Saccharomyces cerevisiae S288C: one gene and its partners. Changing the gene in region 1 together with any one later gene gives a genetic interaction. Each region holds a gene or a part of one and is shown in the gene's direction. Other genes may lie near its edges.

Region 1 (7,686 bases):
TGTTAGCATTCTCAAAACTGTGTATGACATATAGAATGCCATCACTGTGGGAGTCAAGAACACTAGAATAATAAATAATAATGTTCCCAATAGCAATTGATCTAGTTGAAAATAGTTATGGTCAATCCTATTTCGTAAAACGTTCCTCTTTTTACCGCAGAACAGGTTAAAAAGACTAGCCATAATATTCAACTGACAATGGTACAGTTTACTGCTGATACGATAAAAAACATATATTGGAAAACTTAAAATTGCAAAAAAATCAATCGCTAGGGAAACAGCAAAAGAAAAGCCAACGAGAAACATCATATATATCGTTAACGTGAGCAAAGATGATAGGGTTTTCGGATCAATGAGTCTTTTTATGAATGTGGTATAAGAAAATTCTATCACCCAAAGAAATAATTCGCTCAAAAAGTTCGCAAGTTCTGCATTTAATTTGATGCCAAGGGGGTTATTTGCTAACGTTTCAGTTATTGTTTTTAATGAATCATATAAAAAAAACTTCAATACTCTATGGGATGCCGACACCAAGAAATCTCGATTCTCAATAAGTATGGCCCCCAATATTAAACCAAATGAAATGTCATTAATAATAAGCCAAATTGTATTATACAATAAAATATAATCGGGATAGAATTTAGAAGGCATATATGAATGTGAGAATTGACTATTAGAATTATCTTTTTCCACCATAGAGCCAACATTCTGTATGTTATCCTTCTTATTAATACGCTCATACTGTACTGGGAAATAGCAAATTTGTTGACAACGAAGATCGATTTGCTGGACAAATGCCGAGTAATTTACCAACTGAAAGTGCGAATAATTTAATAACGAGGATACGAGACTAGCAATAGAGCAGATCACAAAAGTCAAATAAAAACCAATTTTTGCGACCATTTTATAAATACAAGTAGATGAACACCAAGCTGCGACACTATTAAGCATAGTACCCCTCAAATTTTCCTGTGATGTTTGAATAAACGGGTAAAGCTCATTTAATGCTTTACAATATGCGGGGAATAGATTAATGATGTTCAAAGTTTCACTCAATTTCTTATTATCTCTCTTGTATCTTGGATGTTGCTCTAATTTAGAATAGTTCAGAGTTTCACCCACACTACTATGAAGACCAACTTCTTTTTCTGGTATGATGAGCGAGATGGGATCAGAAGAATAGAATTGCATAAATTTCAGCTTGGGTATTCTAAAATGGACATTACAGGGATCAGCAACTTTGTAGTTCCAACCCTCCGCTCCATTGTTCTTAGTAGCTACCACTGAATAAGGGGGCCGTATGCTTACTTCTTCTAAATACTGAGGTTCGCAAACACCTAAGACAACAAAATGCGTCTTCTCAAATGAAATTGCCAAAGCTACCTGAGGTCCTTGAGCTGCGGAATTCTCGAACAAGGATTCGTATGGCCAGAAAATGTAATTTGGCATGTCATTTAACTGTATAAAACCGCCCCTGAATTCGAAGGTTCCTGTTCACAGAGGAATTTTCATTCTTTTTGGTATTATGTTCTGGTAGGTTTTTTTCATATTCTACATTTCGGCATTCTCACTGAAAATAAATATAGATGAGATAGAAGATCATGAATCAATGGTTGGTGACAAGCTAACATAAGGAAAATCAAAATACACGGCATTACTAAATAGAATATATTGTTAGTACTATGCAGGGGAGAAAAAGGACGCTTACGGAACCATTTGAGCCAAATACCAATCCATTTGGGGACAATGCAGCAGTAATGACGGAAAATGTTGAGGATAACAGCGAAACAGATGGTAACCGTCTAGAATCAAAACCACAAGCTTTGGTCCCACCAGCTTTAAATATCGTGCCACCAGAGAGCAGCATCCACAGTACTGAAGAAAAAAAAGGTGACGAGTACAATGGAAATGATAAAGATAGCTCCTTAATCTCCAACATATTTCGTACTCGTGTCGGAAGGAGTAGTCATGAAAACTTGAGCAGGCCTAAACTCTCACTTAAAACAGCATCATTTGGTGCCGCTGAATCTTCCCGGCGTAATGTTTCACCCTCTACAAAATCTGCCAAGTCTAGTTCGCAGTATATTGATTTAAATGATGAAAGGCTACGCAGGCGTAGCTTCAGTAGTTATAGCCGATCATCTAGTAGGCGTGTTTCTAATTCACCAAGCTCAACGGATAGGCCTCCACGGTCGGCAAAGGTTTTATCGCTAATTGCCGCTGATGATATGGATGATTTTGAAGATTTGCAAAAGGGATTTAAAAGTGCAATAGACGAAGAGGGCCTGACATGGCTACCCCAATTAAAATCAGAAAAAAGCCGTCCTGTATCAGACGTTGGAGAAGATAGAGGAGAAGGAGAACAAGAATCTATACCTGACGTTCATACACCCAATGTAGGAGCAAGCGCTACTCCAGGATCAATTCATCTAACACCCGAACCCGCGCAGAATGGTTCGGTATCTGAGGGTCTAGAAGGCTCTATTAATAATTCAAGAAAGAAACCCAGTCCAAAGTTTTTTCATCATTTATCACCGCAAAAAGAAGATAAAGACCAAACAGAAGTTATTGAGTATGCTGAAGACATTCTAGATTTTGAAACCCTTCAAAGAAAACTGGAATCAAGGCCCTTTGTGCTTTATGGACATTCTCTTGGGGTTTTCTCGCCTACGAATCCGCTAAGAATAAAAATTGCTCGTTTTTTGTTGCATAGGCGGTATTCGTTACTTTACAACACTTTGTTAACATTTTATGCCATTCTCCTGGCGATAAGGACATATAACCCTCACAATGTGGTTTTTTTATACCGTTTCTCTAACTGGACCGACTATTTCATTTTTATTTTATCAGCTTGCTTTACAGGCAATGATATTGCTAAAATAATTGCGTTTGGATTTTGGGACGATTCTGAAATGTTTAAAGCCTATGGACGTGAGTATAAATCAATCTTACAGAGATCTGGAATTATGAAACTATACATATATCTGAGAGAAAAGTATGGTAGAAAGCTAATAGATTTCATTATTCCATTTAGGATCATATCGCCGGGAGAAGAGACAAAATATCAACGAAGTTCGTTGAGTACTTCCCTGACGAAACCTTATGGGGCAAAGGAAAATCAGAGGCCTTTTGGCACCCCAAGAGCCTTTGCGAGATCATCGTGGAATAGAATAGATCTGGTATCTTCTGTCAGTTTTTGGCTAGGTATGTTTTTATCCATAAAAAGTTATGATACAAAAACAGGCATAAGAATATTCAAGCCCCTTGCTATATTAAGGATTCTTCGACTTGTAAACGTGGATACTGGTATGCCCTCAATTCTAAGGGGATTGAAATATGGTATCCCACAGTTGGTAAATGTTAGTTCAATGCTAGTTTACTTTTGGATTTTCTTTGGGATTTTGGGAGTACAGATTTTTCAGGGCTCTTTTCGAAGACAATGTGTATGGTTTAACCCTGAAGATCCTACCGATACTTACCAGTACGATATGCAATTCTGTGGTGGTTACCTAGATCCAGTAACAAAACGAAAACAAAATTATATCTATGAAGACGGATCAGAAGGTTCTGTTTCAAAAGGCTTTCTTTGCCCACAATATTCGAAATGTGTTTCCAATGCCAACCCCTACAACGGCAGAATTAGTTTTGATAATATTGTTAATTCCATGGAGCTCGTTTTTGTCATTATGAGTGCGAATACTTTTACTGACTTAATGTACTATACGATGGATTCGGATGAAATGGCTGCCTGTTTGTTTTTTATTGTTTGCATCTTTGTTTTAACTATCTGGCTGCTAAATCTACTCATTGCAGTGTTGGTATCATCTTTTGAAATAGCCAATGAGGAGTACAAAAAGAAAAAGTTCATATATGGTTCTAGAAAGACAGGTTATGTTGCTCGCATAGTAACAGGCTACTGGAAATATTTTAAGCTTAAGGCGAATCAGACAAAATTCCCAAATTGGTCCCAAAAAGGACTAGCTATTTATTCCCACGTTGAGTTTATCTTTGTCATACTTATTATTTGCGATATAGGTATGCGCGCCTCTGTTAAAGTATCGACTTCGGCAAACTGTAACAATATCCTTCTAAAAACTGACAGGGGAATTTCGATTGTTCTCTTCATCGAATCACTGGCAAGGTTAGTATTATATCTGCCCAATATGTGGAAGTTTTTAACAAAACCTAGTTACGTTTACGATTTTATTATATCAATTATTACTCTGGTTATTAGTTGCCTGGCTGTTGAAGGGGTTCTAGGACATATGTATGCCTGGCTATCCATATTCCACATATCCAGATTTTACAGGGTGATTATTTCTTTCAATTTAACAAAAAAACTATGGAAACAAATATTGAGTAATGGTGTTATGATTTGGAACTTATCGTCTTTTTACTTTTTTTTCACCTTTTTGGTTGCTATAATCATGGCTGTGTATTTCGAAGGCGTGATTCCTCCAGAAGAAATGGCAGACCAGCCATTTGGAATGTATTCACTACCGAATTCATTTCTTTCTTTGTTTATAATAGGTTCAACTGAAAATTGGACGGATATCCTATATGCCCTCCAAAAACACTCACCAAACATCTCCTCAACTTTTTTTTGCTCAGTATTTTTTATTATATGGTTTCTACTATCCAACTCAGTGATCTTGAACATTTTCATTGCCCTAATATCAGAAAGCATGGAAGTGAAAGAAGAAGAAAAACGACCACAGCAAATTAAGCATTATCTTAAGTTCGTCTATCCTCAGAAAATACAAGAATATACACACGCTAGTTTGGTTGCGAGAATTCGTAAAAAATTCTTTGGAGGTCATAGGAACGAAGATACAAGAGATTTTAAGCAATTTCTTATGAGAGGAACCGCGATAATGAACATAGCGCAGAATATGGGGGAGTTGGCCGATGAATTCAAAGAGCCACCTTCAGAAAACCTATTTAAAAAGGGCTTATCAAAGCTCACAATTGGGGTTCCGTCACTAAAAAGGCTGAGAATGTTTGCTAATAATCCATTTTATAAAAATAGTGACGTTGTGTTTACAGAAACGAACGATATAAATGGGAGGACGTATATCTTGGAGTTGAATGAGTACGAGGATGAGAAGCTAGATTATTTAAAAAAGTACCCTTTATTCAATTACTCATATTATTTCTTTTCTCCTCAGCATAGATTTCGAAGGTTCTGTCAACGCTTGGTACCACCAAGCACTGGAAAAAGGACTGATGGATCACGATTTTTCGAGGATAGCACTGATCTATACAATAAAAGGAGCTATTTTCATCATATTGAAAGAGATGTATTTGTATTCATTTTCGCACTTGCCACCATTTTACTAATTGTTTGCTCATGTTATGTTACGCCTCTATATCGTATGCATCACAAGATGGGAACTTGGAATTGGTCCTCGGCGTTAGATTGCGCCTTCATTGGTGCCTTCTCAATTGAATTTATCGTGAAAACAGTAGCTGACGGATTTATATATTCTCCAAATGCTTACCTGAGGAATCCATGGAACTTTATTGATTTTTGTGTCCTAATCTCAATGTGGATTAATTTAATTGCATACCTAAAAAACAATGGAAATTTGTCTAGGATTTTCAAGGGATTGACAGCCCTGAGGGCCCTCAGATGCCTCACGATCAGTAACACAGCTCGTCAAACATTTAACCTAGTTATGTTTGATGGTTTAAATAAAATTTTTGAAGCTGGGTTGATTTCACTCAGTTTGCTATTTCCATTTACAGTTTGGGGCTTAAGCATTTTTAAAGGCCGTTTAGGTACTTGCAATGACGGAAGTTTGGGCCGTGCAGATTGTTACAATGAATATTCAAATTCCGTTTTTCAATGGGATATCATGTCTCCAAGGGTTTACCAGCAACCATATCTTCATTTGGACTCTTTCGCAAGCGCTTTTAGTTCATTATACCAAATCATTTCTTTGGAAGGATGGGTTGATTTGTTGGAAAATATGATGAATAGTTCAGGAATAGGTACACCCGCTACGGTAATGGGTTCAGCAGGGAATGCTTTATTCCTCGTTCTGTTTAATTTTTTAAGTATGGTTTTCATCCTGAACTTGTTTGTTTCATTCATTGTTAACAACCAAGCAAGGACAACAGGAAGCGCTTACTTTACCATTGAGGAAAAGGCGTGGCTGGAATCCCAGAAACTTTTATCTCAGGCCAAGCCAAAAGCTATCCCAAATTTAATTGAGTTATCAAGAGTTAGGCAATTTTTCTATCAACTTGCAGTGGAGAAAAAAAATTTCTACTACGCATCGTTTCTTCAGGTAGTACTTTATTTGCACATAATCATGCTCCTGAGTCGAAGCTACAATCCAGGAAACTTGATAGGTTATCAAGGTGTTTATTTTATGTTTTCCACTAGTGTTTTTTTAATTCAAGAGGCACTTCACATGTGCGGTGAAGGACCAAGATTATATTTTAGGCAAAAATGGAACAGCATACGACTCAGTATCATAATTATAGCCTTTATTATGAACGCTGTAGCATTCCACGTTCCAGCCTCTCACTATTGGTTCCACAATATAAAGGGGTTTTTCCTGTTAGTGATATTTTTGTTTATTATTCCTCAAAATGACACACTAACTGAACTATTAGAAACCGCAATGGCAAGCTTACCGCCTATTCTATCATTGACCTACACTTGGGGGGTTTTATTTTTAGTATATGCTATTGCTTTGAATCAAATCTTCGGCCTAACAAGGTTAGGGAGTAATACGACCGATAACATAAATTTTAGAACTGTAATCAAATCCATGATTGTTCTGTTTAGATGTAGTTTTGGTGAGGGCTGGAATTATATCATGGCCGACCTAACTGTGTCAGAACCTTATTGCTCCTCTGATGATAATTCAACCTATACGGACTGTGGATCAGAGACATATGCCTATTTGTTATTAATGTCGTGGAATATTATTTCCATGTATATTTTTGTGAATATGTTTGTTTCGTTGATTATTGGTAATTTCAGTTATGTTTACCGTAGCGGTGGATCTCGCTCTGGCATCAACAGATCGGAGATAAAAAAATACATTGAAGCTTGGTCCAAATTTGATACTGATGGAACTGGCGAGCTTGAGCTGTCCTACCTCCCAAGAATAATGCATTCATTTGACGGTCCTCTTTCATTTAAAATTTGGGAAGGTAGATTGACAATAAAAAGTCTAGTCGAGAACTACATGGAGGTTAACCCAGATGATCCATATGACGTCAAAATAGACCTGATCGGACTGAACAAAGAGCTGAATACGATTGATAAAGCAAAGATCATACAGAGGAAGTTACAGTACAGAAGATTTGTACAAAGCATTCACTATACGAATGCTTATAATGGATGTATCAGATTCTCGGATTTGTTATTACAAATACCTCTCTATACAGCTTATTCTGCAAGGGAATGTCTAGGTATTGATCAATATGTCCATCATCTATATATCCTGGGTAAAGTGGACAAGTACTTAGAAAATCAAAGAAACTTCGATGTATTGGAGATGGTGGTAACAAGATGGAAATTTCATTGCAGGATGAAACGTACCATTGAACCCGAATGGGATGTTAAAGATCCCACAGTATCGTCTCACATTTCGAATATAAACGTAAATCTGGAACCTGCTCCAGGAATTTTAGAAAGAGAACCTATTGCGACACCTAGAATGGACT
Region 2 (2,660 bases), on another chromosome or scaffold:
CTTGTATCGTCGGAAACGGATATTACGGATTCACTCAGGACACGCATGACTATTCTCTACCAGAGTTTCAAGAATATTGTAAACGTCAAAATTCAAGGTTATTACCAGCACGAAAACTGTCTATAGATGAGTTGGAAGAGATGTTTTGGAGCTTAGTGACCAAGAATCGTCGCAGTTCATTAACGACAGTTAAATACGGTGCTGACATACATAACGAATTGCCAGGTCAAATTACCGGCTTTCCGACGAGAGAATTTATACCCAAAAATATAAATGGGGACGAATTGATAGACTACCTCAAATATTGCGATCATCCTATGAATTTAACTAACTTGCCTATGGCTCATAATTCGCTATTACCGTTATTTAAAAGAAATATTTCTGGCATGACTATTCCTTGGATTTACATAGGCTCCTTATTTTCCACATTTTGTTGGCATATGGAAGATCAGTATACCCTAAGTGCTAACTATCAACATGAAGGTGACCCTAAGGTCTGGTACAGCATTCCCGAATCGGGATGTACGAAATTCAACGATCTATTAAATGATATGTCACCAGACTTATTTATCAAACAACCAGACCTACTGCATCAGCTAGTGACTTTAATATCTCCGTACGATCCAAATTTCAAGAAATCAGGTATTCCTGTGTACAAAGCTGTGCAAAAGCCCAACGAATATATTATCACGTTTCCTAAATGTTACCATGCTGGTTTTAATACAGGTTATAATTTTAATGAAGCTGTCAATTTTACTATAGATTTCTGGCTACCATATGGATTTGGTGCGATTACGGATTATAAATTAACTCAGAAAGCATGTGTTTTTGATATGTTTGATTTAATGATCAATGTTTTGGACAAGTACAATAAAGATACTCTATTGTTCAATGATGCTTTTGTTAGGCAATGTTACTCTTCATTGATCGTCTTTTATAATACTGAATTAAAACGCATACGGAAAATTCAGGCCATTGTACCACGGACAACTCTTTTGGAGGTGCATACTGATCCAAACGATGAAGATGAGGAATACGATATATTTTGTTCCCAATGTAAGACTATATGTTCAATAGCCTTTGTATTGCGAAAGAATAACTATGATTCAATTAGAACGTATAAAAGACACAAGAAAAACCATTTAAGTATTAGGCAGTGGAATGAACTATCCACGACGGACAGTAAAGTGAGTATCCTGTGTACGCAGGATTACTTAAAATCAATACAAAACTTGAACAATAGCGACGGTGAAGAACCTTATATTGACGATGAATTGTATTTCACTAAGTCTTTGAAGGATATTGACTCTTTAATAAAGCAAGTTGGTGTTAAGTTAGATAGATAGTCTTCAATATTTGTGTATGGCGTAATGATTTTTTAGAATAATACTTGGCATTTAGCACGCCACTTTTAGCGCGAAAACACCAAAAAAGTAAAGAAAATAATGTCGATCAATCTTTAAAGAGAGACAATTGAATGGTAGTGTAACAATTTACAACATAATAGAGTATCGCATTCAGCAAAAGTAAAGAATAAATTCTAAGAAAATGGCTCAAGCCTTGAACTCCACCAATATTGCTTTTTTCAGAGTAGCATTTTTATTCACGATCGCCTTCTTTTGTTTAAAGAACGTTAATTCTATTTTGCAAAATACATATTTCATAGTCTTAACGCAAGCGATGAATTTACCGCAGTTAACACTGTCACGTTATAGTGGTCAATTGGGTCTTTTCGCTCTTCTGTTTACTCTTAACGGTGTTCATGATCTAATTCCCCTGTTAGAAAACAATGTTAAATACTTCCAATCTGTTGTGCCAGTTAGATTACTAATTTTTTTTATTTTGACAAGTATCTCGTACCTTTGGGAGTCAAACTTTTACGTTCACAATAACTCTGTTTTTATTTACTGTTTTGCAGAAGTTTGGATAAATTTTCTTTTGTATAATGCCATTAGGGAGGAGAAAAATGAAGAGTTCAAAAGATTGAACCAATTCATGGTTAATGATGAGGATATTGAAGAACCCCAACCATTTACCGTGAAGACTGAAACCACAGAAATCATTGAAATAATCAATGATGAAGAAAATGACGATGAAGATGGGAAAGATAATGATGATAACAATGAGAAAGGTAATGATGATAGCGATGCAAAAAAATAAAATGTTTAATCGTTTATTTTTTCTTTCCTTTATTCTTATAGTAGATACCTGTGTATGTATGTAGATATAGACATAACGAAGCTGAATTTAACGGTACATGCTAATATGTGTACTCTATAGATTAGTTTTTCTTCTTTTCACTAACATAGTCTAGAGCGGTCAATCTTTCAGCTAGAGTTGGATGGGAATAATGATAGCTAGAATACAGAGGATCTACATTCATGGTGGAAAGGTTTTTGATTTGTAGATCAATTAGAGCCCTACATAGATTTTGCTTGTAGCCCAATTTTTTAGCATAAGCATCAGCTTGATATTCATGAGTTCTGGAAATTAAACTCATCACGAATTGCATGGCACATTCGAGTGGAGTTAATAAGTCGTTAAATAACATAAATCCAATGATAATGGGGAATTCCTTAGTGATAACGGGATCAACAAAACTGCCAGTGGACTTCTCTAAGAAAAAGCCGAAGGTGTTGTAAAATGATGTATTTCTGTAG
Region 3 (4,903 bases), on another chromosome or scaffold:
AGCTATAATAAAGTTGACATGGCCTTCACTGACTTTATTACCGATCAAAACACGATCGTCATCCACCAAAAATGTTTTTCTTTTCCTTTTCATTTCTCTTTTATGCAGCAAAGATTGTCTCATCTTCTTAATTTCTGCCGTTGCAGACTCTGATCTTTTCAGACCCGTAGCAGCGGTAGTAGTAGTAGTATTATTATTAACAGCAGCAGCATTAGCAGCGTGATTATGGTTGGTGCCACGACTGTGTTGATAGTAGTGGTCATTCTCTGGCGGCAAAGAAGTGGTTGATTTGGATATCATATGATATTGCTTTGACTTTTGAGAAGGTTGTGGAAGTGGGTGAAGAGGCAAAGAAGTCATTGAGTGACTAATTTTAGTAGCAGAATTTGGTTTCATGCTGGTATCTCCATTGGCCAATTTTATTACATCTGAATCATCCATAGGTAGAATTTGAGAATGCTTGGAAGCGTGAAAGGGAATATTGGGCAGGTTTGAATCCTGAGTATTTCTTCTTTGCTTAATTGTCGTGGAAGTTGCTGTTACTGCCGATATTCTGGAAGATCGCCTCGAAACGCGCTTGTTTAGTAAAATATGATCGTCATTTAAGTCTTGTATATACGAATCTGTGTGAACAAGACTGGAATTGTCCAAATCCAAACAATTATTCGAGTTTAACGAGGGTGTTGTTATTTTCTTCGACTCCTTACCTTCGGGAAAACTATATTTCTGCATTTCCTTGTTACTAGTGCTATTTGGTCGGGGAGAAGTTATGGTGTTTGGATGATCATCATCCGTATTATTATTGCTGTTGTCATGCAAAGGATCAATTGATATTGAGTAGTTTCTCTTCACCAGCCTCGAATTATTTATTGTTGGGTTTAACTCTTCAATAGAGGTCGGAGTGGAAGACTCACCATCTGACAAGCGAGGACTTTCCATGTTTGACTCCGAATTCGATGAAGAATGGTAGCTAGTGTGATTATTGCGATCCTTTTTTATTCGATGGTTCGAATCCGGATTCGAATTCGAATTCGGCACCGAACGGTCTTGATGTCGCTCAATTATTGCAGAGTGCAATAGCGATGGTTCCTGTTCTGTTTTGCGACTGGTGGATGTTGTCAGATGTAGCGGTACAACTGAAGGAGGTTGTGATCGCAAGACTGACATGAGTTAGAAACTATTGATAGGGAAAAGCGATATAGGGCAACTGTCTCGGGGGGTGTAAACAGGTTTCGTACTCTCTTGCTTATGAATGTGCTACTTCTTGTTCCTATTTTTTGTTTCTGTCCTTGTTTTTTCTTTGCTTGTCCCTCCGTATTTGCTTCTTTGTTGTCACGCTTTTGTTATTTCCACCTCTATCTTTCCTCTCTGTCCCATTCCCCATCCATTCCTTTCTTTTTTTTTTTAACCTGTGTTTTGTTTTCCCAGAATGGGCGGCACGTTCTTATGTCCGTAAAAACGGATATACAAAAGCGACACGTCGTCTGAGGTGACACTCCACTCAACCCCACTTGCCCAAAACATGCATTGCTACAAGTAGTAGAGCGCAGTTTTTAAAGTCCATTGGTTGCACACGAAATCACGAGAATAATCACGAGAATAGAATGCACGTTGGATTTCGGGCATCCTATAATTGCCAAGACTGCGCTACTTCTCTTCTGTTTCGGTCCGGGTGACACGTCCGCCGTGCTTCAAGGCGCCTTTTCACCAATGCCAGGCGGAAACTGCCGCCGTCAAAAAGAAAAATGAAAAGAACATAGAGGACAAGGACAAGAGACCAGTGATCGTAAGAAGCGCCCACCTTCGCACAGCGCACAGGAACTAGGACACTACCGCACTCAAACCATTTGCATGGACCTTAACTCACGATGCTAGACAAGGCGCGCTCTCAAAGCAAACACATGGACGAATCTAATGCGGCTGCCTCTCTGCTTTCGATGGAAACAACCGCCAACAATCATCACTATTTGCACAATAAAACATCTCGTGCCACGCTGATGAATAGCAGCCAAGACGGCAAAAAACATGCAGAAGATGAAGTTAGTGATGGAGCTAACTCCCGCCATCCTACAATTTCCAGTGCTAGCATCGAATCTCTCAAGACAACCTACGATGAAAACCCTTTGCTTTCTATTATGAAATCGACATGTGCGCCCAACAACACTCCCGTGCATACTCCGTCTGGTTCGCCGAGTTTGAAAGTCCAAAGTGGCGGAGATATCAAAGACGATCCTAAGGAAAACGATACTACTACTACGACCAATACTACACTTCAAGATCGCCGTGACAGCGATAACGCTGTGCATGCTGCCGCCAGCCCACTCGCGCCTTCCAATACACCTTCGGATCCTAAGTCATTGTGCAATGGCCATGTCGCACAGGCTACAGACCCACAAATTTCCGGTGCTATTCAGCCGCAGTATACTGCAACCAACGAGGATGTTTTCCCTTACTCCTCCACCTCCACTAATAGTAACACTGCCACTACTACTATCGTCGCCGGCGCCAAAAAAAAAATACATTTGCCGCCACCACAAGCTCCAGCGGTTTCTTCCCCCGGTACCACCGCAGCAGGCTCGGGCGCGGGCACGGGCTCGGGCATCCGTTCCCGCACAGGATCGGATTTGCCGCTCATCATTACCAGCGCCAACAAGAACAACGGTAAGACTACCAATTCGCCTATGTCGATACTGAGCAGAAACAACAGTACCAACAACAACGACAATAATTCGATACAAAGCTCAGATTCGAGAGAATCCTCTAATAACAATGAGATTGGCGGGTATTTGCGCGGCGGAACTAAGCGCGGCGGCAGTCCATCTAACGACTCTCAGGTCCAGCATAATGTGCATGATGACCAATGTGCCGTGGGCGTGGCGCCCAGGAACTTCTATTTCAACAAGGATAGAGAGATAACAGACCCAAATGTAAAACTGGACGAGAACGAATCAAAAATCAACATATCGTTCTGGCTAAATTCGAAATACAGAGATGAGGCTTATTCTTTGAATGAATCATCCTCCAACAATGCTAGTTCAAACACGGATACGCCTACAAACTCTCGACATGCGAACACCAGCTCTTCCATTACCAGCAGAAACAATTTCCAGCATTTTAGGTTCAACCAAATACCTTCTCAACCTCCAACTTCCGCATCTTCGTTTACAAGCACAAACAACAACAACCCTCAACGGAACAATATCAATCGCGGTGAAGACCCGTTTGCCACTTCGTCAAGACCTTCTACTGGGTTTTTTTACGGCGATTTGCCGAATCGTAACAATAGAAATAGTCCCTTCCATACAAATGAACAATACATCCCACCACCTCCACCGAAATACATCAATTCTAAATTGGATGGATTGAGATCAAGATTATTGCTCGGTCCGAATTCTGCATCTTCATCTACCAAACTAGACGACGACTTGGGTACAGCAGCAGCAGTGCTATCAAACATGAGATCATCCCCATATAGAACTCATGATAAACCCATTTCCAATGTCAATGACATGAATAACACAAATGCGCTCGGTGTGCCGGCTAGTAGGCCTCATTCGTCATCTTTTCCATCAAAGGGTGTCTTAAGACCAATTCTGTTACGTATCCATAATTCCGAACAACAACCCATTTTCGAAAGCAACAATTCTACAGCTGTTTTTGATGAAGACCAGGACCAAAATCAAGACTTGTCTCCTTACCATTTAAATCTAAACTCTAAAAAGGTTTTAGATCCCACTTTTGAGTCAAGGACAAGGCAAGTTACTTGGAATAAGAATGGTAAGCGAATAGACAGACGCCTTTCTGCTCCAGAACAACAACAGCAACTGGAAGTTCCACCATTGAAAAAATCGAGAAGGTCAGTTGGAAACGCAAGAGTAGCAAGCCAAACCAATAGCGATTATAATTCTCTTGGCGAATCCTCAACTTCGTCAGCTCCATCGTCTCCATCTTTGAAGGCTTCTTCTGGCTTGGCATATACCGCTGATTATCCTAACGCTACTTCGCCGGATTTCGCTAAATCTAAAGGAAAAAATGTCAAGCCTAAGGCAAAATCAAAGGCGAAACAGTCATCAAAGAAAAGACCAAATAATACTACTTCGAAATCAAAAGCAAACAATTCTCAAGAATCGAATAATGCTACTTCCTCAACGTCTCAAGGTACAAGGTCCCGTACTGGTTGCTGGATTTGTAGATTAAGGAAAAAGAAGTGTACCGAGGAAAGACCGCACTGTTTCAACTGTGAAAGGTTGAAATTGGACTGTCACTATGACGCGTTCAAACCAGATTTTGTATCTGATCCAAAGAAAAAACAGATGAAACTGGAGGAAATCAAGAAAAAAACAAAAGAGGCCAAAAGAAGAGCAATGAAAAAAAAATAAAAGCTCACTGAAAAAAAAAAAGAGATATTGTTACTATTATTATTATTATTACTGTCATTAATACTATACTAATAAAGAAAAGGAAAATACGCATAATAATATTTAATTAACAATAATATAACATATATATATATATATATATATGTATGTACTACCATGTAATTTCAAAGACTTTCAAAAGAAGTTATACGTCAATTCTCGTGTACAAATCAGTCAAACTGTAATTCATTCGTACTGATAAGCCAAATTTCTACCTAGTATTCATATGAAGATTTGAAAAACTATGATAAAAAACGAACAATATTAAAACATATTATTCCGACTGTTTCCCCTCATGCTGTCCGTGTTGCTTTGGGCGTCAAAAGGAAATTGCATGTACTTCCCCACATCTTGCTGCATAGGTTGTTGAAACATTTGCCGTTGCGCTTGCGCATATGCTGACGACGGCGCAGATGTCTGGTACTGGTCACCTAGCCACGTTGGATTTGCAAAATTCATTGACTTTAATGAGTAAGCTTCGCTCT
Region 4 (7,958 bases), on another chromosome or scaffold:
CTTTTTTGAAGACATTGAACTCTTGGCCGACTCTTCTGATGAGGCTTTCGAAAAATCTACTTTCATTAACACAATTGAGTTCATTGTGCACGATATTTGGGTCGAAACGTTGATAAAGAACATAAACTTATTACAAATGTTTGATGCAGATTTGAAATGCTACAATGACAAGTACATAATTTGCAAGCTAAAGGGTCAGTATCCCTCCACAAATATAGTGGACATAATGTGCCGTTTGAAGCATTTTTCCAATTCTATTTTGGAAACTTTCAAATTCGGAATCGAGCTAAAAGAACAAGATCAATGCCACAATAGAAACACTATTATCAACTACGTTCTTTTCAGTAGAGTATTTTCAACGATTGTTTTAGAGATTCAAAAATGCTTTATCTTGATCGTTAAGTTCATGTATTCTGTCAATTTTTTAGAAAAATTTTCCGATGAAGTATTTTTGTCATTTATTGAAATTCTCATAAAAATTGTCTTTGAGCACCAGATTCCGCAGTTATTTTTGGGAATTGATGAAATTATTCAACTCTGGTTAAAGAACAATGAAGGAAAACGGCAACAACTCTTGAGCGCTTGGTGCAACGGAACTGTTCAAGATATGAAGCAAAGCCAACAAAGAGAGTCCTCAAACGCAGAATCTGAATCAATCACTTCAAGTACAGAAGAGGACGAAGAAGGCCTCCAATTCAATAAATGGGATGTGATTGAACCATTTATTGATAATATCAAGGCTTTGAATCAATCAAAATCCCATATGTGACGCAGCGATAAAACCGCGGCATGCAAACATCTACACAATTAGCAAGGGCAATCCATATTTTGTCTTTTCGCGCCCTGGAAAGGCCTAAGTAATGTCGTAAACGCATTCTATCTGTACTTCAACTCTCCTCTGTGCATTGGTTTGTGCAAATCACATTTTACGATACTGCCAGATTTATGCAAAAAGAGAAAACCAAGGGACCAGAACAAAGCAAAATTACGATAAACTTCGAATTCCTTCGTGCTTGACTAAGACAAAGGGATGGACGTAGCGATTTTTAGCGGGCCAAGAACTGGTTCCGAAAAAGCACAGGTACACCGAACCCTCAGCTAAGGAGGGACAGCACCGATGCGGAAGGACAAACTTTCTTTTTGCCTATCACAGTATCTTATCGAGCTAACTATTTTCGACACACATGAAAAAGCAGAAATATTAACGAAAAAGAAAAGAAAGACCATGTCATGTACGGGCAATCAGAATCTGTAACAAGCGCCATTTTTTTTTCTGTATCGGGCCCTCCTTACTGCTCTCCTTCCGTGTAACGCGTTATGAAACTCTAATCCTACTATCGGCGACTCTCTCGAAATTTTTCTTAACGCGTCCTTGTACTGCGTCTAACGCTTTTGCCACTTGGATTTCTATTATAGGAAATAGTCTCACTTACTGGGCGACGAATTTTCGCGTTTTGATGAAGCACAGGAAGAATTTCTTTTTTTTTTGGCTTCTTCTGGTTCCGTTTTTTACGCGCACAAATCTAAAAAAAGAAATAATTATAACCTAGTCTCGAAAATTTTCATCGATCCATTCGTTCCTTTTTTTCGATTTTTTCAGATCAAAATTCTTGTTTCTTTCTTTGTCTTAGTTTATATTAAAAGATATTTTGATTTTACTCCTGAACTATTTATTCTTTCTAAGAAGGCCAGAACACTACAGCTGTTTTAACCGACTACGAAGTTCTCCATTCTCGAACACTAGCCTTCATTTACCAAACAGGAACTAGCGTATATCATTAGTCCTTATTCGAAAAGAGATTGGTAGATATTTATTGTAGTTTGTGAGAAGGAGAAAATACTGTCATTGGACTGATAGTTAGAGGACATTAACCTCTCTTACGTTCGCTCAAAAAAATTAAAATAAGCAAGTAGCTGAAATCAAGTCTTTCATACAACGGTCAGACCATGAACACTGATCAACAACCTTATCAGGGCCAAACGGACTATACCCAGGGACCAGGTAACGGGCAAAGTCAGGAACAAGACTATGACCAATATGGCCAGCCTTTGTATCCTTCACAAGCTGATGGTTACTACGATCCAAATGTCGCTGCTGGTACTGAAGCTGATATGTATGGTCAACAACCACCAAACGAGTCTTACGACCAAGACTACACAAACGGTGAATACTATGGTCAACCGCCAAATATGGCTGCTCAAGACGGTGAAAACTTCTCGGATTTTAGCAGTTACGGCCCTCCTGGAACACCTGGATATGATAGCTATGGTGGTCAGTATACCGCTTCTCAAATGAGTTATGGAGAACCAAATTCGTCGGGTACCTCGACTCCAATTTACGGTAATTATGACCCAAATGCTATCGCTATGGCTTTGCCAAATGAACCTTATCCCGCTTGGACTGCTGACTCTCAATCTCCCGTTTCGATCGAGCAAATCGAAGATATCTTTATTGATTTGACCAACAGACTCGGGTTCCAAAGAGACTCCATGAGAAATATGTTTGATCATTTTATGGTTCTCTTGGACTCTAGGTCCTCGAGAATGTCTCCTGATCAAGCTTTACTATCTTTACATGCCGACTACATTGGTGGCGATACTGCTAACTATAAAAAATGGTATTTTGCTGCTCAGTTAGATATGGATGATGAAATTGGTTTTAGAAATATGAGTCTTGGAAAACTCTCAAGGAAGGCAAGAAAAGCTAAGAAGAAAAACAAGAAAGCAATGGAAGAGGCCAATCCCGAAGACACTGAAGAAACTTTAAACAAAATTGAAGGCGACAACTCCCTAGAGGCTGCTGATTTTAGATGGAAGGCCAAGATGAACCAGTTGTCTCCCCTGGAAAGAGTTCGTCATATCGCCTTATATCTGTTATGTTGGGGTGAAGCTAATCAAGTCAGATTCACTGCTGAATGTTTATGTTTTATCTACAAGTGTGCTCTTGACTACTTGGATTCCCCTCTTTGCCAACAACGCCAAGAACCTATGCCAGAAGGTGATTTCTTGAATAGAGTCATTACGCCAATTTATCATTTCATCAGAAATCAAGTTTATGAAATTGTTGATGGTCGTTTTGTCAAGCGTGAAAGAGATCATAACAAAATTGTCGGTTATGATGATTTAAACCAATTGTTCTGGTATCCAGAAGGTATTGCAAAGATTGTTCTTGAAGATGGAACAAAATTGATAGAACTCCCATTGGAAGAACGTTATTTAAGATTAGGCGATGTCGTCTGGGATGATGTATTCTTCAAAACATATAAAGAGACCCGTACTTGGTTACATTTGGTCACCAACTTCAACCGTATTTGGGTTATGCATATCTCCATTTTTTGGATGTACTTTGCATATAATTCACCAACATTTTACACTCATAACTATCAACAATTGGTCGACAACCAACCTTTGGCTGCTTACAAGTGGGCATCTTGCGCATTAGGTGGTACTGTCGCAAGTTTGATTCAAATTGTCGCTACTTTGTGTGAATGGTCATTCGTTCCAAGAAAATGGGCTGGTGCTCAACATCTATCTCGTAGATTCTGGTTTTTATGCATCATCTTTGGTATTAATTTGGGTCCTATTATTTTTGTTTTTGCTTACGACAAAGATACAGTCTACTCCACTGCTGCACACGTTGTTGCTGCTGTTATGTTCTTTGTTGCGGTTGCTACCATCATATTCTTCTCCATTATGCCATTGGGGGGGTTGTTTACGTCATATATGAAAAAATCTACAAGGCGTTATGTTGCATCTCAAACATTCACTGCTGCATTTGCCCCTCTACATGGGTTAGATAGATGGATGTCCTATTTAGTTTGGGTTACTGTTTTTGCTGCCAAATATTCAGAATCGTACTACTTTTTAGTTTTATCTTTGAGAGATCCAATTAGAATTTTGTCCACCACTGCAATGAGGTGTACAGGTGAATACTGGTGGGGTGCGGTACTTTGTAAAGTGCAACCCAAGATTGTCTTAGGTTTGGTTATCGCTACCGACTTCATTCTTTTCTTCTTGGATACCTACTTATGGTACATTATTGTGAATACCATTTTCTCTGTTGGGAAATCTTTCTATTTAGGTATTTCTATCTTAACACCATGGAGAAATATCTTCACAAGATTGCCAAAAAGAATATACTCCAAGATTTTGGCTACTACTGATATGGAAATTAAATACAAACCAAAGGTTTTGATTTCTCAAGTATGGAATGCCATCATTATTTCAATGTACAGAGAACATCTCTTAGCCATCGACCATGTACAAAAATTACTATATCATCAAGTTCCATCTGAAATCGAAGGTAAAAGAACTTTGAGAGCTCCTACCTTCTTTGTTTCTCAAGATGACAATAATTTTGAGACTGAATTTTTCCCTAGGGATTCAGAGGCTGAGCGTCGTATTTCTTTCTTTGCTCAATCTTTGTCTACTCCAATTCCCGAACCACTTCCAGTTGATAACATGCCAACGTTCACAGTATTGACTCCTCACTACGCGGAAAGAATTCTGCTGTCATTAAGAGAAATTATTCGTGAAGATGACCAATTTTCTAGAGTTACTCTTTTAGAATATCTAAAACAATTACATCCCGTTGAATGGGAATGTTTTGTTAAGGATACTAAGATTTTGGCTGAAGAAACCGCTGCCTATGAAGGAAATGAAAATGAAGCTGAAAAGGAAGATGCTTTGAAATCTCAAATCGATGATTTGCCATTTTATTGTATTGGTTTTAAATCTGCTGCTCCAGAATATACACTTCGTACGAGAATTTGGGCTTCTTTGAGGTCGCAGACTCTATATCGTACCATTTCAGGGTTCATGAATTATTCAAGAGCTATCAAATTACTGTATCGTGTGGAAAATCCTGAAATTGTTCAAATGTTTGGTGGTAATGCTGAAGGCTTAGAAAGAGAGCTAGAAAAGATGGCAAGAAGAAAGTTTAAATTTTTGGTCTCTATGCAGAGATTGGCTAAATTCAAACCACATGAACTGGAAAATGCTGAGTTTTTGTTGAGAGCTTACCCAGACTTACAAATTGCCTACTTGGATGAAGAGCCACCTTTGACTGAAGGTGAGGAGCCAAGAATCTATTCCGCTTTGATTGATGGACATTGTGAAATTCTAGATAATGGTCGTAGACGTCCCAAGTTTAGAGTTCAATTATCTGGTAACCCAATTCTTGGTGACGGTAAATCTGATAACCAAAACCATGCTTTGATTTTTTACAGAGGTGAATACATTCAATTAATTGATGCCAACCAAGATAACTACTTGGAAGAATGTCTGAAGATTAGATCTGTATTGGCTGAATTTGAGGAATTGAACGTTGAACAAGTTAATCCATATGCTCCCGGTTTAAGGTATGAGGAGCAAACAACTAATCATCCTGTTGCTATTGTTGGTGCCAGAGAATACATTTTCTCTGAAAACTCTGGTGTGCTGGGTGATGTGGCCGCTGGTAAAGAACAAACTTTTGGTACATTATTTGCGCGTACTTTATCTCAAATTGGTGGTAAATTGCATTATGGTCATCCGGATTTCATTAATGCTACGTTTATGACCACTAGAGGTGGTGTTTCCAAAGCACAAAAGGGTTTGCATTTAAACGAAGATATTTATGCTGGTATGAATGCTATGCTTCGTGGTGGTCGTATCAAGCATTGTGAGTATTATCAATGTGGTAAAGGTAGAGATTTGGGTTTCGGTACAATTCTAAATTTCACTACTAAGATTGGTGCTGGTATGGGTGAACAAATGTTATCTCGTGAATATTATTATCTGGGTACCCAATTACCAGTGGACCGTTTCCTAACATTCTATTATGCCCATCCTGGTTTCCATTTGAACAACTTGTTCATTCAATTATCTTTGCAAATGTTTATGTTGACTTTGGTGAATTTATCTTCCTTGGCCCATGAATCTATTATGTGTATTTACGATAGGAACAAACCAAAAACAGATGTTTTGGTTCCAATTGGGTGTTACAACTTCCAACCTGCGGTTGATTGGGTGAGACGTTATACATTGTCTATTTTCATTGTTTTCTGGATTGCCTTCGTTCCTATTGTTGTTCAAGAACTAATTGAACGTGGTCTATGGAAAGCCACCCAAAGATTTTTCTGCCACCTATTATCATTATCCCCTATGTTCGAAGTGTTTGCGGGCCAAATCTACTCTTCTGCGTTATTAAGTGATTTAGCAATTGGTGGTGCTCGTTATATATCCACCGGTCGTGGTTTTGCAACTTCTCGTATACCATTTTCAATTTTGTATTCAAGATTTGCAGGATCTGCTATCTACATGGGTGCAAGATCAATGTTAATGTTGCTGTTCGGTACTGTCGCACATTGGCAAGCTCCACTACTGTGGTTTTGGGCCTCTCTATCTTCATTAATTTTTGCGCCTTTCGTTTTCAATCCACATCAGTTTGCTTGGGAAGATTTCTTTTTGGATTACAGGGATTATATCAGATGGTTATCAAGAGGTAATAATCAATATCATAGAAACTCGTGGATTGGTTACGTGAGGATGTCTAGGGCACGTATTACTGGGTTTAAACGTAAACTGGTTGGCGATGAATCTGAGAAAGCTGCTGGTGACGCAAGCAGGGCTCATAGAACCAATTTGATCATGGCTGAAATCATACCCTGTGCAATTTATGCAGCTGGTTGTTTTATTGCCTTCACGTTTATTAATGCTCAAACCGGTGTCAAGACTACTGATGATGATAGGGTGAATTCTGTTTTACGTATCATCATTTGTACCTTGGCGCCAATCGCCGTTAACCTCGGTGTTCTATTCTTCTGTATGGGTATGTCATGCTGCTCTGGTCCCTTATTTGGTATGTGTTGTAAGAAGACAGGTTCTGTAATGGCTGGAATTGCCCACGGTGTTGCTGTTATTGTCCACATTGCCTTTTTCATTGTCATGTGGGTTTTGGAGAGCTTCAACTTTGTTAGAATGTTAATCGGAGTCGTTACTTGTATCCAATGTCAAAGACTCATTTTTCATTGCATGACAGCGTTAATGTTGACTCGTGAATTTAAAAACGATCATGCCAATACAGCCTTCTGGACTGGTAAGTGGTATGGTAAAGGTATGGGTTACATGGCTTGGACCCAGCCAAGTAGAGAATTAACCGCCAAGGTAATTGAGCTTTCAGAATTTGCAGCTGATTTTGTTCTAGGTCATGTGATTTTAATCTGTCAACTGCCACTCATTATAATCCCAAAAATAGATAAATTCCACTCGATTATGCTATTCTGGCTAAAGCCCTCTCGTCAAATTCGTCCCCCAATTTACTCTCTGAAGCAAACTCGTTTGCGTAAGCGTATGGTCAAGAAGTACTGCTCTTTGTACTTTTTAGTATTGGCTATTTTTGCAGGATGCATTATTGGTCCTGCTGTAGCCTCTGCTAAGATCCACAAACACATTGGAGATTCATTGGATGGCGTTGTTCACAATCTATTCCAACCAATAAATACAACCAATAATGACACTGGTTCCCAAATGTCAACTTATCAAAGTCACTACTATACTCATACGCCATCATTAAAGACCTGGTCAACTATAAAATAATACAATCAATACTTGCTTGAACGCTTGATTTTACTGATATTCTATCCAAAAGCAAGTAGACCAGAAACTCTCAAGATGTTGCAAATACCGTTCGATGTTTTTGGTTTAGATTGTTTTAATGTTGATGCTTTTTTACTTATTTTTGGAAGCGTCTTTTTAATTTAGTTTTATATTATAGGTATATGAATGTGTTTATGCCAATAAGGGTTTTTTTGTACAGTTATGTGATTATAAACAGTCTTTTGTCTAGTTTTTTTCACCAGTATCGGCCTCTATTTATAAAAAACGGAGCAGCTTTCGGTGTCAGTAATTCTGAAAAAATTTGTGTCACTCTGATTGTAAATGAATTAATTTAGCTAGATAGTTGCGAGCCCCAACGA

The links.
Region 2: mutations in CCH1 (region 1) and ILM1 together harm fitness more than expected from each alone (negative genetic interaction), as found in Saccharomyces cerevisiae (3 studies listed by BioGRID).
Region 3: mutations in CCH1 (region 1) and UME6 together harm fitness more than expected from each alone (negative genetic interaction), as found in Saccharomyces cerevisiae (3 studies listed by BioGRID, with this or other methods).
Region 4: mutations in CCH1 (region 1) and FKS1 together harm fitness more than expected from each alone (negative genetic interaction), as found in Saccharomyces cerevisiae (5 studies listed by BioGRID, with this or other methods).

The regions. Positions count from the first base shown.
Region 1 is NC_001139.9:923,014-930,699, forward strand, and holds the start of CCH1 (calcium channel protein CCH1), read left to right. Parts: upstream 1-1,682; coding exon 1,683-7,686. Other genes in the region: GPI1 (phosphatidylinositol N-acetylglucosaminyltransferase), read right to left, coding at 1-1,449. UniProt on the Saccharomyces cerevisiae protein: Voltage-gated, high-affinity calcium channel that functions together with MID1 to mediate calcium entry into cells. Required during conditions of environmental stress.
Region 2 is NC_001142.9:642,990-645,649, reverse strand, and holds ILM1 (Ilm1p), read left to right. Parts: upstream 1-1,548; coding exon 1,549-2,160; downstream 2,161-2,660. Other genes in the region: JHD2 (histone demethylase), read left to right, coding at 1-1,346; STE24 (zinc metalloprotease), read right to left, coding at 2,282-2,660.
Region 3 is NC_001136.10:864,488-869,390, reverse strand, and holds UME6 (DNA-binding transcriptional regulator UME6), read left to right. Parts: upstream 1-1,868; coding exon 1,869-4,379; downstream 4,380-4,903. Other genes in the region: MSS4 (1-phosphatidylinositol-4-phosphate 5-kinase), read right to left, coding at 1-1,167; EBS1 (Ebs1p), read right to left, coding at 4,683-4,903. UniProt on the Saccharomyces cerevisiae protein: Component of the RPD3C(L) histone deacetylase complex (HDAC) responsible for the deacetylation of lysine residues on the N-terminal part of the core histones (H2A, H2B, H3 and H4).
Region 4 is NC_001144.5:808,050-816,007, forward strand, and holds FKS1 (1,3-beta-D-glucan synthase), read left to right. Parts: upstream 1-1,947; coding exon 1,948-7,578; downstream 7,579-7,958. Other genes in the region: SPO77 (Spo77p), read left to right, coding at 1-769; YLR342W-A (uncharacterized protein), read left to right, coding at 7,761-7,934. UniProt on the Saccharomyces cerevisiae protein: Alternate catalytic subunit of the 1,3-beta-glucan synthase (GS) complex. Synthesizes 1,3-beta-glucan, a major structural component of the yeast cell wall. Involved in cell wall synthesis, maintenance and remodeling.